Caenorhabditis elegans: one gene and its partner. The protein of the gene in region 1 purifies or fractionates together with the protein of each later gene. This does not show direct contact. Each region holds a gene or a part of one and is shown on either strand. Other genes may lie near its edges.

Region 1 (7,505 bases):
TCACTGCTATTGGAAATAAAAACACCAAAACAGACATTGAATAGGGGATGTAAAGAAAATGAATACTTTACGAGAGGATTGAGAAATTATAGCTGGAATAAACTTATCTTAAATACGGAAAAATGTTTTGTTGAAAACCCCTATTTGATTCTTTGGAAAATAGAAAACGTTGCAACATTTGTACAAATAAACATGAAAACAAACAGACAATACAGACATTTCCCATGCCTTATAGGCCTCTCCTCCCAGCAATAAATCTCATAAGATGGCGGCAACTGTTTGCTGGTTACATTGCACCATCGAGTTCAAATTTGTTTGCCTCGTTGGGAGGGGAAAGGTGTTCTTCAGATCAAATTATGAGTTGCGGGAGAGTAAGCAGAGAGCTCATGGACGTGGAAAAAAGAGAACTGAAATGAAATTTTTCGCGCCGTGCTTTGCCACACACTCTTCCCACACATACACTCATGCATAACATTTTGCAGTGTTTCTCGGCCAAAAAACACGGGAGAAGACTTGTAAAAAATGGCGACTGAGGCAAAAGCATGAAGGACACGCACATGCTCCTCCTCACTGACGTTCTTCTCCTTCGTCTTCCTTCATTCTCTTCCAATTCACTATGATGGTGGTGGAGACGATGAAAACGAAAAACGAAACGAGAATTTGAATGAAATGCGTGAATTAGAGATGAGATGAAACATTAGAGGGTTTTTTAAAAGTAAGGAATACGAGTGCTTATCGGAATCCAGTGCTCAGAACACTAGAAAGATGGAAAGACGCTCCTTCTTTCTTCTCAACGCCTCCTTGTATAATGGAGATCGCCTTGGAGACATACGGACACATTTGGCGGTCTTCTGTGTAGAGAGTGGTGATGCCGCCACCATATTGCTCATCAGCCTAAATGACACAACCAGTGCGTGTGCATTTGTGTGTATGAAGCTACTCTGAGATGAGAGCAATTCAATATCATATTCCCATTCTATTTGGTAGTCCTCCTGCGCGAAGACAACAGTAGTCGTGGGAAATCTATGAGAGAAAGGCGAGGATACTACCTACCTAATTATGTAGTCATAGTCATCGAATTGAATTACACAGCCATTGAAATGTGCCAAGTTGAAGTAGGAATTTAAATCAAGAATTCAATGTGGGAGTTTTGAGATTTTGGCGGAAAATATAGCAGAATAAAATCTACGTCAAGTAATTCTACAGATGGATGAAGAAAAAATTAGTGAAACTAAACTTTGATATTGACAACTATTTTATTCTCTGAATTCTATAAGTCTACACATTGTAGAAATTGAGGACGTAATCCGGCCCAATCTGAATGTTAAGAAATCAATCATTGATAGTGGGTGAGAGAGTCAGAAAGCAGTACAAAGCATATCGTGTATTCTAGTCTACTCGACTAATAGACCGTAGAAATTGGTACATTGAATTGATGGCTATATCTACGATATTTTTGTGGTAAAGGTTTTATGGTGAAACTGCTCAAAATAACGAAAATTGGAAGAAAAAACTAAGAAAGAATGATATAAAGAAGCAACATGTGGTGTCGACCACATGGAATCCGAATTGCAGGTGTGACATACACACATACTTAGAGAACAAAACGAGAGAAAAGGAGCCGATAGATAGATGGACAGATCCCTCTGAAGATGAGTCCATGAGCAAACCCAGAGTGGACGGGACAACGAAGACGGGACAACGAAATTGACGGATCAATTTTGAGGATGATTTATGAAATGGGTGGCCGTGGCTGCAGAAAGAGCTCTGAAGTGCACGGAAGGAGGCATTACTATTGTCTGGGACGCCAGGTCGATTCGAATCGAACAAAGATACGATATGAAGACAAAAACTAGGGAGTGAAGAAAGTATTAGCATTCTTGGGTTGGTAGAAGAAACAATTAAACGTCGAGGACGAGAAGGACGGAAGTCAAGGTGCGGAAAGTAGGAAAAAAGGATCATGAAATAGTATCGGAAAGAATGAAAAAGTAGTAGGAATTGAATGTTGACAAGAGATTCCTTCCACTGTTTATAACATTGTGAGTCATTATTGTCACAGGAATTGGGCCTATCCCACTATCACACGAATTTGATCGAAAAGGAGATAAGATTTGGAGAAAAATAGAACATCGAATTCATGATTCTGAAAGCGTTTTCACATCACATGGTTTTCTGAGTGATTTTTTTTTGTCGTTTTGAAATTATTTGCATAAGAAACTACAGTGGTGAATTTCATGTTTCGTTAAATTCAAAACATATAAACAAAATATTTGTTATCTTGGAAAATTCATACTTTATTCAAGTAGGGCCTTCTACAATTCTAACTAACCTTGGAAATCATACTGATCGTCGACACCAATCGATGCACATAGTGGTAGTCGAATACTCATGTTCGCATGACGTTTAGATCAAAACGAACACCAGTGTGGGAAAATAAGATGGGAAGAGACAGAAGACTAAATGACTTTCGTTCTCTAAGAGATTCTCTCGAGAGAAGACAGAGAGACAACTGCCTTCTCATGGCTCCCGGGTGGGGCGATGATGATCCGTTTCCATCGCATGCCCTTTCATCTTCTGCGTCTTCGTCTTTCTTTTCTAAGTTCCATAGAGAAGAAGAATGATTCCAAAACAACTTTACACACTTACGACACAGGTATAAGGGGAGAACAAGGTTGGCGGCGGCAGTGGCTTCGAATTATTCACTACTCCCCCCGTACTGATGCCCTATCACATTTCTATTATTCCGCAAGTTCCCCTCTAGTATAACTATTCATTACTTTGGTTCAAGTGACAAGTGACTTCCCGCAGTTTCCAACACACAATCGCAATAAATTGTCAATGCGTTGATGTCGCCCGACGATGGCGATGGGGTGCGAAATGAAAATGTTTCTTTTCTTTTTTCCCGCACCGCCCGTGTGTTCTTTCTCTCTCTGACTGTGTACCGACTTCTTTCCGCTGATGATTGTTTAGATAATAGGGTGAAAAGGCGCGAAAAATGGATGAAAATGATAGTGTTCTATACTTAAAATCGCAATTAAAATGTTTGATTATGATGAACAACACTAGGAACATTGAACAAGTTTTTTCCTCACAATGTGGCACGTAATATATGTTTATATCTCTACTTACCCCCAATTCGTGATGGGATCAACATAAACTAGTTGGAGAGGGTGTGAGCGGAAAGAAAAAACAACGAAATGAATTCAATGTAAACTTGGAGGGAAGATCAAGATGACAAATACTTTTAATAAACTTTGAAGCTTAATATATCGAACTATTTTTTAGTTTTTCAGTTTTGATACTCAAACGCGAAATTTTGCGCCAAAAATATGGCTCCCGGTCTCGACACGATAAATTTTGGTTGAATTTTCGAAAAAGTGTGCTTTAAAAACTACTGTATTCTCAAACTCAAATAAAATCCATAAATTTTTAACAAATTGTTAGAAAAACTTAGAGAATTAATTAAATTTCCTCTTCGTATTTTTCAAAAAAAAATTGTCGTGTTGAGACCCGTTACCGTATTTTGGCTCGAAAATCACAAAGTTTTGTGTCTGGGTAATACGGAAGGTTTTTTAATTTTTTTTGTTGCAAAATTCTCGAAGTTACCAAAAGAAAAGATTACGATTCCAACATTTCAAAAAATCTCACCTTTAGCAGCACACTCCAAATCGTGTACAATCGCCTTTTCTTGTTTGTGCTGTGAATGTTTTCTCACGTCCTGTGAGCATCTTCTGTCTGCTGATGTTGATGAAGTTAACGTCATCGAAGTTTCCTCGTGCTGGCCACCGGCCCCACCTTCAGACGAAGACGTCGTCATGTTTGGGGTCGGCACGGGTGAAGCAAGTGGTTTGGGTGAAATTCTGGAAAAGAAAATTATAAATTGAATGAATGATATCGGGTTGAAGGGGAAAGTATGGAAGAAACACGGATTGTTTGAAAAAAACAAAGGATAGGCAAGGAGAAAAGGAGGACAATTTATAGAATTTGTTTGATTGATTTATAAGAGTTGAGTGGCTAGAGTTAGTTTGAGAAAGCACAAAAAAAGAGATGGGCAAGCAAAAAGCGCAAGGAGCGGGACGAAAAAAGTAACTAGCTTGGCAGATGGTAAAGCCCGCGTTTGCCCCCTTACTGCTACTTCACATAAATCAACGTGTGGCTGGCGAAAAATAGAAAAAAAAAGTGAACAAGGGTTTGGTGGACGTAGCTTTCAGAAAAACAGTGGAAAGAAACACCGAGGACGGCATGTAACAATACGGTTTCAGGACAAGAGGAACGACAGAAAAATAATAGGAATTGCAAAAAGAGAATAGACATCAACATAAAGTGAAGCAGATGGACTGAATTAAGCATATGTATTTGATTTCGTTTTTGCTAAAGTCATCGTCTTTTTTTTTTGAAAACAAAGCCACTAGGGCGCAAACAATTAATATTTTACATACATATTTGAGGGGCTCCCGTAGATGCATAGTTACCTGAAATAATTTTTTAACAAAAAAGTATAAATATGAATTGATATTTATAACAAGCTTAAAAATATCAAGTTAGAAGTAAACCGACATTCGTTGCTCTTCTTTTCTTCAAGAAAAGTAATTCCTCAATAGAAGATTAACTATGGATTAAATATTGACCCTTTCAATAGAAACGAATCTATTTTCGAGAAGAAGAAGAAGAAAACATAAATGGAACGGACAAATGTTTATTCATCCGAGATTATGTAAAAGTATTACTATGAGGCAACAGGAGAGGGGAAGACCAGGACAATGTTATCTTTATTGTCCATCAACATCATATTCCTCTTCCACGACAACATTCAATCGGCACCTAACATATACCTGATGAATGAGAAATGAAGAAAAACATCCCAAATAACGGATATTGGTTTTGGAGCTGACTGGCAAAAGGATGCCATCAATCTTGACTCGGTCTCTAAAGCCTTTCGGCTATTCCAAAAAATTCATGCTTTTTTTTGGAAGACGAAGCAGGAAAGGAACGATTGAAAGTGAAAAACGCCTTGGGCTTCTTGAAAAAGAGAGGAAAACTTTTATTTTAGTTTTCTCTTTCCGACAAACAAGGGCGCTGCCGGACACTGCCGGACACAAGAGACAAGAATAACTTTTTTCTGACAACATAAAGAAATGAATAGCGCACTGGGAATATTTTTTATATAAAAATTTTAGAATTAATAAGCTCAGAATGGATTATATAGTCTCATGAGTACATAAATATTTAAAATTAAAGAAAGTGTATTCCAATGAAGAAGGAATAAGAATGTTATGTAATGATGACGTTCATCGGTCTCATTGTCTCGTCCACTTGGGAAGAACAAGGTTCCAATTGGCACCTTCTCGTAGTGGCCGTCGTAATATCCCTACACTAATCCTCCTTACACGGCTAATGTACTCTTATGGGAAACGAAAAGAACATGAAAAATGCGAGATAGGCAATACAGTACAGTCTATATATTTATTTGCATTTTGCAATACCATATAGAAATTCGAAATGTGCGTCGAGAAAGAGAAAAATAAAGTGTGAAACGTATGTTTGCCGTAATTAACAAGCGCATTCGACGACTAGAGGTGCGTGCGCGCTCCGCCGAGCCTTTCCAAGGTCTGTAAACACGGATTGGAGCGATAGAGCGGTCAAGACTAGAGAGACGTAGGTGGTTAGACACATGTTCTTCCCGAATGAAGAAGAATCTCCAAAAAAGACCGGTCCGGAAAGAAAATCTATGAAGCTATTCCAATTCCCATCACTGAATCCATGAACATGGTGGAGGGCTGAGAAGTCAAGCGTGACCGGCAGAAGGACATGGAGATCCGGTGCCTATCGACTAGCCACAACTGGTGAGCGTCGAAGAAGAGAAGATGTTGTGATGAAATTCGAGATTGTCAGCGATAATCGAGAGACTAGGTCAAGTAGTGGAAACGCAGAGAAAGGGGGAGACGATGACGTGGATGCTCTTTAATACAGGTTGAAATAAAGAAAGAAAGAAAGAATAGACTGAAAACATATGAATAAAAACATTATAAATGTCGAAGGAGACAATATGAAAACATGTAGGGAGCGGATGATGGACGGTATTCTAATAGTAATAGTAAACGAATAAAAGAACGATGTGAATCGGGTCAAAACCAAATTAGTTTCGAGTGTCCTTCTGAAGAGGCTAAGGGATTCAAAAGCGGATTTCATGATGATGCGATTACATCTGATCCTACAGTATTTTATACTTTAACTCCATGTGTCACTGTAAAATATCGAGAAACTTGAGAGCAGTGTTGTCTCGATTTACTGAATATATCAGTAAAAATGAATAGAATATTTCTAAATATTGCGAAAAAACTGATAAATTGTGCTTCAATTTATAAAACAAAAACTCAATTAATTCAGCCGGAAATGTCGAAACTAGGTCAATAAAATTCTCTGATTAAAAAACCTATTTTAAAAATTAGAAAAATGCTATGATATTTTACGAGTCGTATTCAGTATAACGATACTGGGTTTGAAATTTAAATAATAAATAAAACCCACAAATTGATCAAAATAATTTCAATGCTTTCAAGTTCATAACTCAAAATTGTCATTAAAAATCGGGTAAGTAAAATAAATGCGGATTTGTATAATTCATGACCGACAAAATAAGGATAAAACTTATTAGCATCATAATGGATGTGTTGAGCGGCGGATGCGGGCGGCACACACTCAAAAGAAGTAAAAGAACATGCATTGTTTATCCGCGGCTCATTCGTCATAACAAGCTCTAATAAAGTAATAAATACCTAATGGACGTGAATAGAACGAAGGAAAAGGACCAAAAAAGGATATGTGACACCTGACGCAAGTGTTCTCTACCGATTTCACTTCGCTTCTGATACACAATTACATTATTTTAGCATCGTGCCTGGGAAATGAAGTCTTTAGGGAATCGTAAAATTTAAACCATCCGTCGTTCTGCACTAATTGATCAAAAGTGAAAGGGCAAGGGAAATTCAGCTAACGAAGCCGAATTTATTTGTCAAACTGAAGCTTAAAAGCATTTTTTGAAAAAACTATAAGCACAAAATAATATTTCTTACAAGTATATTCAATAGAGTTCGAAATTAAACATTCGTGAGGGATGTTCAATCGTCTTTTTATCCGATGGGTAGTACCTGACAGTAACAATAATAACTTAACCTTGAGACCATAAGTGGCAGACGGTGAAAGGATTCGAAGCGCCTAATTGCCATTGGAATCGGGTCATTTGTGTTACTAATGTTCCGGGATACAAAAAAACAGTGAAACGTGTAGACACCCTGATATCAATATTTATAGGAACAAAGTTGAAACTGATACATTTTCTTGAGGGTTTGAGTGGGCCGAAAGATTGCAAAAAAAAAGTCAAAAAGTGAGCGAGTGACTAATGTAAATGGAAACTGTACAAACATACTGAATAGGGAGGGAAGAGGTCAGAATAAAAGAAAACTCTTTCCTATTGTTGCCAGTAATGGACGGTGAGATCCAGAAAA
Region 2 (7,505 bases), on another chromosome or scaffold:
AGCGTTGAATCTCCATTGCTTTTCCGAATTTGTAGCCAGTTTTATTTCTGAAATTACTTTTATAAGGATTATTGAGAATAATAAATTATTCGTACCATTCGTAACGTCATAATCTGCAAATTTTCTCGATTCTTCCTTCCTCGCAGCTTTTCTTTTTTCTTCCTTGTCACAAACATGTTCTTTAATGTGCAATAGCGTACGAGAAGCAAGTCTACAGTGATCACAGAAAAATGGAAGAACTCTTGGTTTCAGCTGCTTCTTGTATTTTCGAACTAGATTCACTGCAATTCGATGGGAAGGGCTTCCACTGTTCCATCGTTTTGGACGGCTGAAAAATAAATATTTTAGAACATCCCCGAATAACAAAGATTCAAGCATGACATACATCGAATAAAACACATTACTCCTCTCTTTTCTTCGTTTCTCTTTGCTCTGTCGAAATATTACACTGGTGTGAGAGCAAGAACACATGCTATCGAAGTCCAGAGACTTCCGATCAATACTTTTTTACTGATATTTTTTAAATAACTAATTGGATTTAAATGTTCTTCGATTTATAATTCTTTTAGAGTTTTTTCAACTCACCTTAACAAAATTCCACGAAGTGACGGGTGCAGAAGATAGGCTGCACCAACTGGTAAATCGCGAATCATGAGCTTCCGATTATGGGGTCGATGCATTTTTTTCTTCTGCTTCTTGCTGGAAGCCATCGATTCTAGAGGAGGTCGTCGAGGCGGAAAAGGAAAGGGAAAGAGTAATCTGCAATTTGCACAAGTTGCAGAATTTTCGTTGGTTCAAACGGTTTTGTCAGATAATAGAGCGAGTTTCAGAAATAAAAAAAATGATACAAAATTTGAAAGTCTTTCAGAGTGCTCAAATCATAACTGGCTCTCACTTCAGTCAAACATATCGGCTTGGATACAAACTACTTATCATTTGCAAAGCTCGTGGAGATCCTAGACCGACAATTAAATGGTATAAGGAAGGTGCTGAAATTCAACCAAAAGCTAGCATTCACGTGAGTCATGTACAGTAATCCGTGGGTTAACTGCTTTACTTGCAGTATTACGAAAAGCCAATCGAAAATGATACAATTTGGAGTAAATTAGAAGTTGGTAAGTGAAAATTGTTGTCAATCAAGAATATCTTTAGAACCCTTGCGAAAAATGATACAATATGATAAGAAACTTTTTTGTCACTGTCAGCAAATTTTGGAATTTCGCTCATTTCTCTACAATTTTTTTGCCATATTCAGCGCTTTTTAAAGTTTTTCTTCTTAACTGTGAGCGAATGGCAAACTACAATAACGACAGCTAAATATACGACAGTTGTCATATTTTCAGATCCGGCAACAATGGGCGATCAGGGTGTCTATGCATGTGTGGCTAATAACCCGCACGGAGTAATGGCAAAGAATTTTAAAGCAGAATATACGTATTGAATAAAGATTTTTCACAAATCAAATAATTTTCTCTCACCTAATCTATATCATATAAACTTGCGAAGGAATGCGTTTGAAACCTCCTCCTTCTGTTGCGTGCAGGCGCACGAGCGACAAAACAAACAGTGTTTGGGAGTGAGAGAAGCGGGATGAACAGGTGTGCGGTGGCGGTAAATTCGAGTGAAGGCGGGAATGTGTTCAGAATGAATACAGAAAAAGAGCTGATGACGTTGTAAACGAAATTCATGAACGAAAAGCAGGCACATCTCGCGCGGAAAAGGGAGGAGACGCGGCAGGGAACCGGATTGGGGGACTATTGATCGAACAATAAGGAAGAAGAGAAGTACGCGCCGTCGGTTATCGAAACTCCAAATTTTTCTTCTTTTAATTGGGAAAAGTATTACGAACATGTAATTTCATGGAATTCACACGGTTTACAATGAAGTTATCAAGAGAAAATATGCAATTCTAAAAATTTAGGGCAGATTGAATCGTCGATTGGATTGAAGTGAAAGAAGAGAAATAGAAATTTCGCGAGTGAGATTCAATCGGAGCATTGTTAGAATTCTATCTAGAAATGTAAGACAAAAAATACGAAATAGCATATTGAAATATAAAACCTTAAAATTAAAAAGAAGGCAATTTTAAAATTAATTTTACGAAATACAATTGAGAAAAAATGGAAAACACAACGGATTCAATCGAAGTTAATATTCTAGAGATGGTATTTATAAATTGAGGACAAATATTCTGCACTAGGAGAAACAAGAAAAAAGAAAGAAGTTTCTGGCTGGCAATCGTTCGCACAGGAAAAATAAAAAACTAAAATGGCCGCCCGTCTGTTAGCATGGAACGGGTTACGCTAGTTATAGACTAAGCTTACATACAAAATATGTATGTATAATATCCTCACAGCGTAACAAAGTGAGATATAGTTTAAATTCTAGATGATGACTTTAGAAATCCTATTTGGTGGTTTTACGAAGTTTACAGCGTCATTTCTAGACTGAAACTGACCAGTCTGGGATATCATTTGTCTAATCAAGTACTCTATCTAGATAACTGACCGATCTAATAAGTTTTCACGAGTTACGGGACCTAAATTTGAATCCAATAATTCGGTGACGACTGGCGACCCTATGTTAGATGTAGTGATGTCTCCATTCTCTCAATACTCTCTCGTCTTTTTCTCTGCGTATCTCACCACTAGCGTAGTCTATGAGTGCGAGCGGCCGCGTCGCGGTCGTCTTTAGGCTCGCCGACAAACTGTCCACCATCTTCTTTTTTTCCTTTTTTCGCCGTGTTCAACAAAGCTCATTCACGCTTTTCGTTGTTTTACAGGCTTTTATTGTTTTTTCTAATTATTGATTATTCATTTATAAGAGCAGAATTAATCAATAAACGTAGGTAGACGATCGAAGTATCCTATCAGTTTTTAATTTGATAAATTTTCTCGAAAGGAGCAATCATGTTTTAAATTATTTAAAAAATGGTCCGCTTAAGTTTGTCTGACTGTTTAACAATTATTGAAATCATTTTCGTGACATTTTATTGAACATTGCTTCCAAATTCCCCTAACATAATCCTGACTGAGATGTTCCAGTGTTTCATGTCGAATTATTCCTATTTTTGTACCTTTTCTTAAATATAACTAGTTTCAAATATATGCAAGTTGTTTGGTACGGAAAACCGATTCAAACTTCCGACCAGTTACCGATGAATCATTGCCAAAATTCCTCATCTAAAGAATTATACGCACAAGTTGTTTTGGCCATTTTGCCTTATTTCTTCATCGTTTATTAAGGCGTTTACCGTTTTTTTTTCTTGCTCTTTCTTCGATAATTATTGCTCCCAATGGTAAAGAAACGCTCGTGGCATTTCGAAAGAGACTATTGATTTTCTGCCTGATGTTTCGCAATTCGTTTTCATTCTCTAGTTATCTCTCCTTTTAAAACGTGTGCGTGCACATTTATGTGACTCATCCGTATTTTTCACTATAAAGACGTAATTTTAATACTTTTATTCATTTTTTTTTTCAGGCGAAATGCAGACGATCAAGTGCGTCGTCGTTGGAGATGGAGCTGTCGGTAAAACTTGTCTCCTGATCAGCTATACCACAAACAAGTTTCCTTCTGAGTATGTGCCGACAGTCTTCGACAATTACGCCGTAAGTTTAAGAAAAAAAAATTATTTTATATAAAAATAATTTCCGAATTTCAGGTCACAGTAATGATCGGTGGCGAGCCATACACATTAGGATTGTTTGATACTGCTGGACAGGAAGATTACGATCGATTAAGGCCTCTATCGTATCCACAGACCGACGTGTTTCTTGTTTGCTTCTCCGTGGTTGCTCCAGCTTCATTCGAGAATGTCCGAGAAAAAGTAAGAAATATTGTTCTCGAATTTATTCTATATATCTGAAATTGTTTTAGTGGGTGCCTGAAATTTCGCATCATTGCTCAAAGACCCCATTCTTGTTAGTTGGTACTCAAGTCGATCTCAGGGATGATCCAGGAATGCTCGAGAAACTGGCAAAAAACAAGCAGAAACCAGTGTCAACGGATGTTGGAGAGAAGTTGGCAAAGGAATTGAAAGCAGTGAAATACGTTGAATGCTCAGCGTTGACGCAGGTGAGTCATTCTTTCCAAAATAGTCATTGATAATATTGAAACATTAAAATAAAATATCATCCAATCCACGAAACCTAATCAAATAATAAATTTTTAAATATTAAAACGAGGCTCTTGTGGAAATACGTGACACTTTAAAATATAAATATCACTTTTCAGTTAAATTGTTGCTTTATATTTAGCAACGGTCATGTTTTCGGGAAAAACGAACAACCAGAATTCTGTTTTTATTGTGCAAAAAATTATCTCCTGAAATGCTCTATATTCCGGCTGAAAATACCATAGTTTTCATATTATGTTGATTAAAAACGCTTGTATATTGAAGTTTAAATAGTTTATTTTCAGAAGGGACTGAAAAATGTATTCGACGAAGCCATTCTGGCCGCTCTCGACCCACCACAACAGGAGAAGAAGAAGAAGTGCAATATTCTCTAGGAACGTCTTCCTTGTCTCCATGTTTTCCTCTGTTTTGTGACTGTGTTTTTCTTTCTATGTCCAAATTTTCTTAGCCCCCGACTTCCACTCTTCTCATACTTCTAAATTTCCCTGAAAAATGCCAAACGAGAAGCGGTTGCTGTTATTTTTGACAGCATCATAGAAGATGATTTTCTTCAATTCGTCTCCTGTAACTTATCCAGTAGAATCTCGATGAGCATGATTCCAGAATTTTTTAATTGTTTCGTATAGAATTTCGATAAGCAGGGCAGTTTATAGTTTCTCATCTGTTTTCGAATTTTTATCGAATAATCCCCTCGAAAATTTTTAAAAGTTCATCCAAATTAACTATCATTCTTTTCAATGACACCTCCTCTTTAACATTTTCGTCGTCGTTTTTATTTTCTTTTTTATCCCAAAACGTGTTTATAGTCCGGATACACCGTTACGTAATGCGCCTTCTCCTTTCCCATGGTTCTTTTTATAATTATATAATAGGTGTTGTATAGCACAACCAACTACATCCCGAGTCGCTTGTTTCTTCATTTGCTGCTCAAAAATACCGACCAGTTTGTTTTTCTTCTTTCCTTTTTTTTGTGCTTTTCTGCCTTCACACATCCATTTCCCATTTTAAACTGTTTTCTCATCCACTACGTTTTGTGTCTCCCTCCTCCTTTCTCCAGAACAACTCTGTATTTTAATTTTTCTACATATTGTTGTTATATATTTGCGATCCAAAACAATAAAGGTGTGATATAAAAAATTAAGATGTTTATAAAAGATCTTGAAAAGTATACAAGTGGGTGTTGTAGAAAAAGAAGAACCGGAACCATAAGGCATTGAGAAAAATAATTAATGAGTGGGTGAATTGGAACGAAAAATAATTATTATCACTGACAAAAAGTACTGTTTGACGAGGAGAGGAACATAATCACCGTGTATGAGGAAATGGGCTTCAACTAGAAACGATAAGAGAACATAAAATAGAGGCAAGGATGACTAGAATTAATGAACAAATTGACAAAAAATGAAATTATTTCACTTCAATCAAATGACGAAGAGATTTTGGAGTACTTGAATCATTATAATGTTTTGTTGTGAAACGAAGACCAGCAAGTAGACAATCAGACTGAAAATAAAACAATTAATATGGGTTGCTCAATTTTATTCTAATTTTTATTATGGAAGCGCAGAAAAATGCTCATTTTGAAAGCGCGTTTGCAATCGCGCTTTACGGACAAACTGTTGGGTCTCGTTAGGTATTCGCAGAAAACTAGAAATTCGAACATGTTCAAACATTTTTCGTCTGCTTTAAATGCTTTCCGCTATTCTTTTAAATTAATTTCAGTCCGAAATTGATGAATTAAAATTTATAAACGAAAAAAAAATTCGATTTTCATTGTCACATGCATTTTTAAAATAATAATTTTGAAACAAAAATCATTAAAAACAACTTCAAATTGTATGAATTAATGCTGTCAATTCCTAACGAGACTCATAGTTTGGCGTTGGAGCGAGCTTGCCCCTTCATTTCATTTTTCTGCGTCCCCATAATGTTTGGAAAACGATATAAGCAATTTTCGCTCTACTACACGAAAACTCTAAATATGAAAAACGCTTACCTGTTCAGGAGTGGTATTTAGTTTGATCAACCTGACAACATCTCTCATATCAATTGATGAGTTTGACACGAATGCACCATTTTGATCTACGTGATCGAATAATATTACAAGGCCAGTCATCACTCGACAGCAAAGATGTTTCGATGAATCTGTCAGTCGTGCCAGACATTCGTCATTTGCTAACATGAATCGGCAAACGCTGAAAATTTTAATACAATTTTATTTTACCGTAACTCATCATATCGTAACTCATGACTGATCAGTGAAAAAAGTAGTTGAAAATCACTATTAAAGTGCAAAAATGACCAAGAACTTTCCAAAAAAAGTTAATGTTTCATTTGCAGTGAAAAAGAAGATCAATTCATAATTTTGGAAGTATTTTTGAAAGATTTGTCAGATTTCCAAAACGTTGACTGAAACTTTTCATAACACTAAAAATTATTTAATCACGATATTTAAAAGATTTCCATTTTCTTGCTTGTGTTCCATAAATTGCGGATGGAGTTTACGATATATTCCAAAAGTATGTTTTTCAGTTTAATTTATAGAAAACTCACTTGATAATTGTTACAAAAACATCAGTTGTATTGTTAATTGGCAAGCTTTGATGTGTCTGCATGTACGAATCTACACCATTACAAAGTGCTTTTAACATTGGATTTCCTTCACAAAGAAACATTTGAACTTGTGGTAATTCGGGAACTCCTTGGTCTCTACAAATTTAAAATTATATTAGATTGTTTCAAATAAATTAAATACTTACTCAAAATCCTGATAAACAATATGTTTTGCTCGTCGGTAATAACTGTAATCATTTGTTATCTGGGCGGTTCTCATCTGAAATTAAATTTTTTTCTTTAATTGGAAAAGTGGAATTCATACTTTTACGACATCAAAGTCCAATACAAATCCAATTAATCGTGCAAACTGTTTGGCAATTGATTGTTTATTTGCAAGTTGTTCTTCGAGAGGTAATGGGCCAGATGATAATTCCCATAGAATTATTGGTACGATTTTTTCAATTTTTGCAACATGTTCATAGTAGGAACATGTTCTGGCAACAAATGGTTCAAGCTTTGTCATTAAAACTTTTAAAGCTTGAGTATCACTGTCATTTTTTAATTGATTTCTTTCTGCATAGCAACCTGAAAATTGATGTTACAAGTCTACTAAAAAATAAAAATCTAACGTACCATTTCCATAACTTGATACATCAGCAAGTACTAAATCACAATCATTTAATACTTCTTCAGCCATATTATATATTTCCCTTTCTTCATCTGTTGGTTGTGCATTTTCAAAATCCACAAAAATCTCGACCCATTTTGAATTATCATCTGCTGTTGATCGTATAATTGATCGTATCATCTCAAG

What was found. Proteins that work in one complex are often made in the same cells at the same time.
Region 2: the proteins of srgp-1 (region 1) and cdc-42 purify together in Caenorhabditis elegans (affinity purification with western blotting, with the first as the bait; one study listed by BioGRID). This does not show direct contact.

Annotation. Positions count from the first base shown.
Region 1 is NC_003282.8:11,566,855-11,574,359, reverse strand, and holds the start of srgp-1 (Rho-GAP domain-containing protein), read right to left. Parts: upstream 3,861-7,505; 5' UTR 3,818-3,860; coding exon 3,649-3,817; intron 2,694-3,648; exon of another isoform or gene 2,391-2,693; coding exon of another isoform or gene 2,330-2,390; intron 1,833-2,329; exon of another isoform or gene 1,624-1,832; intron 679-1,623; exon of another isoform or gene 325-678; intron 1-324.
Region 2 is NC_003280.10:7,612,972-7,620,476, forward strand, and holds cdc-42 (Cell division control protein 42 homolog), read left to right. Parts: upstream 1-3,480; 5' UTR 3,481-3,485; coding exon 3,486-3,608; intron 3,609-3,661; coding exon 3,662-3,826; intron 3,827-3,876; coding exon 3,877-4,074; intron 4,075-4,419; coding exon 4,420-4,509; 3' UTR 4,510-5,274; downstream 5,275-7,505. Other genes in the region: R07G3.7 (uncharacterized protein), read right to left, coding at 1-47, 96-328, 586-710; Immunoglobulin domain-containing protein oig-4, read left to right, coding at 652-819, 869-1,018, 1,064-1,115, 1,344-1,441; R07G3.8 (CYRIA/CYRIB Rac1 binding domain-containing protein), read right to left, coding at 5,543-5,638, 6,132-6,330, 6,689-6,844, 6,895-6,968, 7,014-7,276, 7,325-7,505.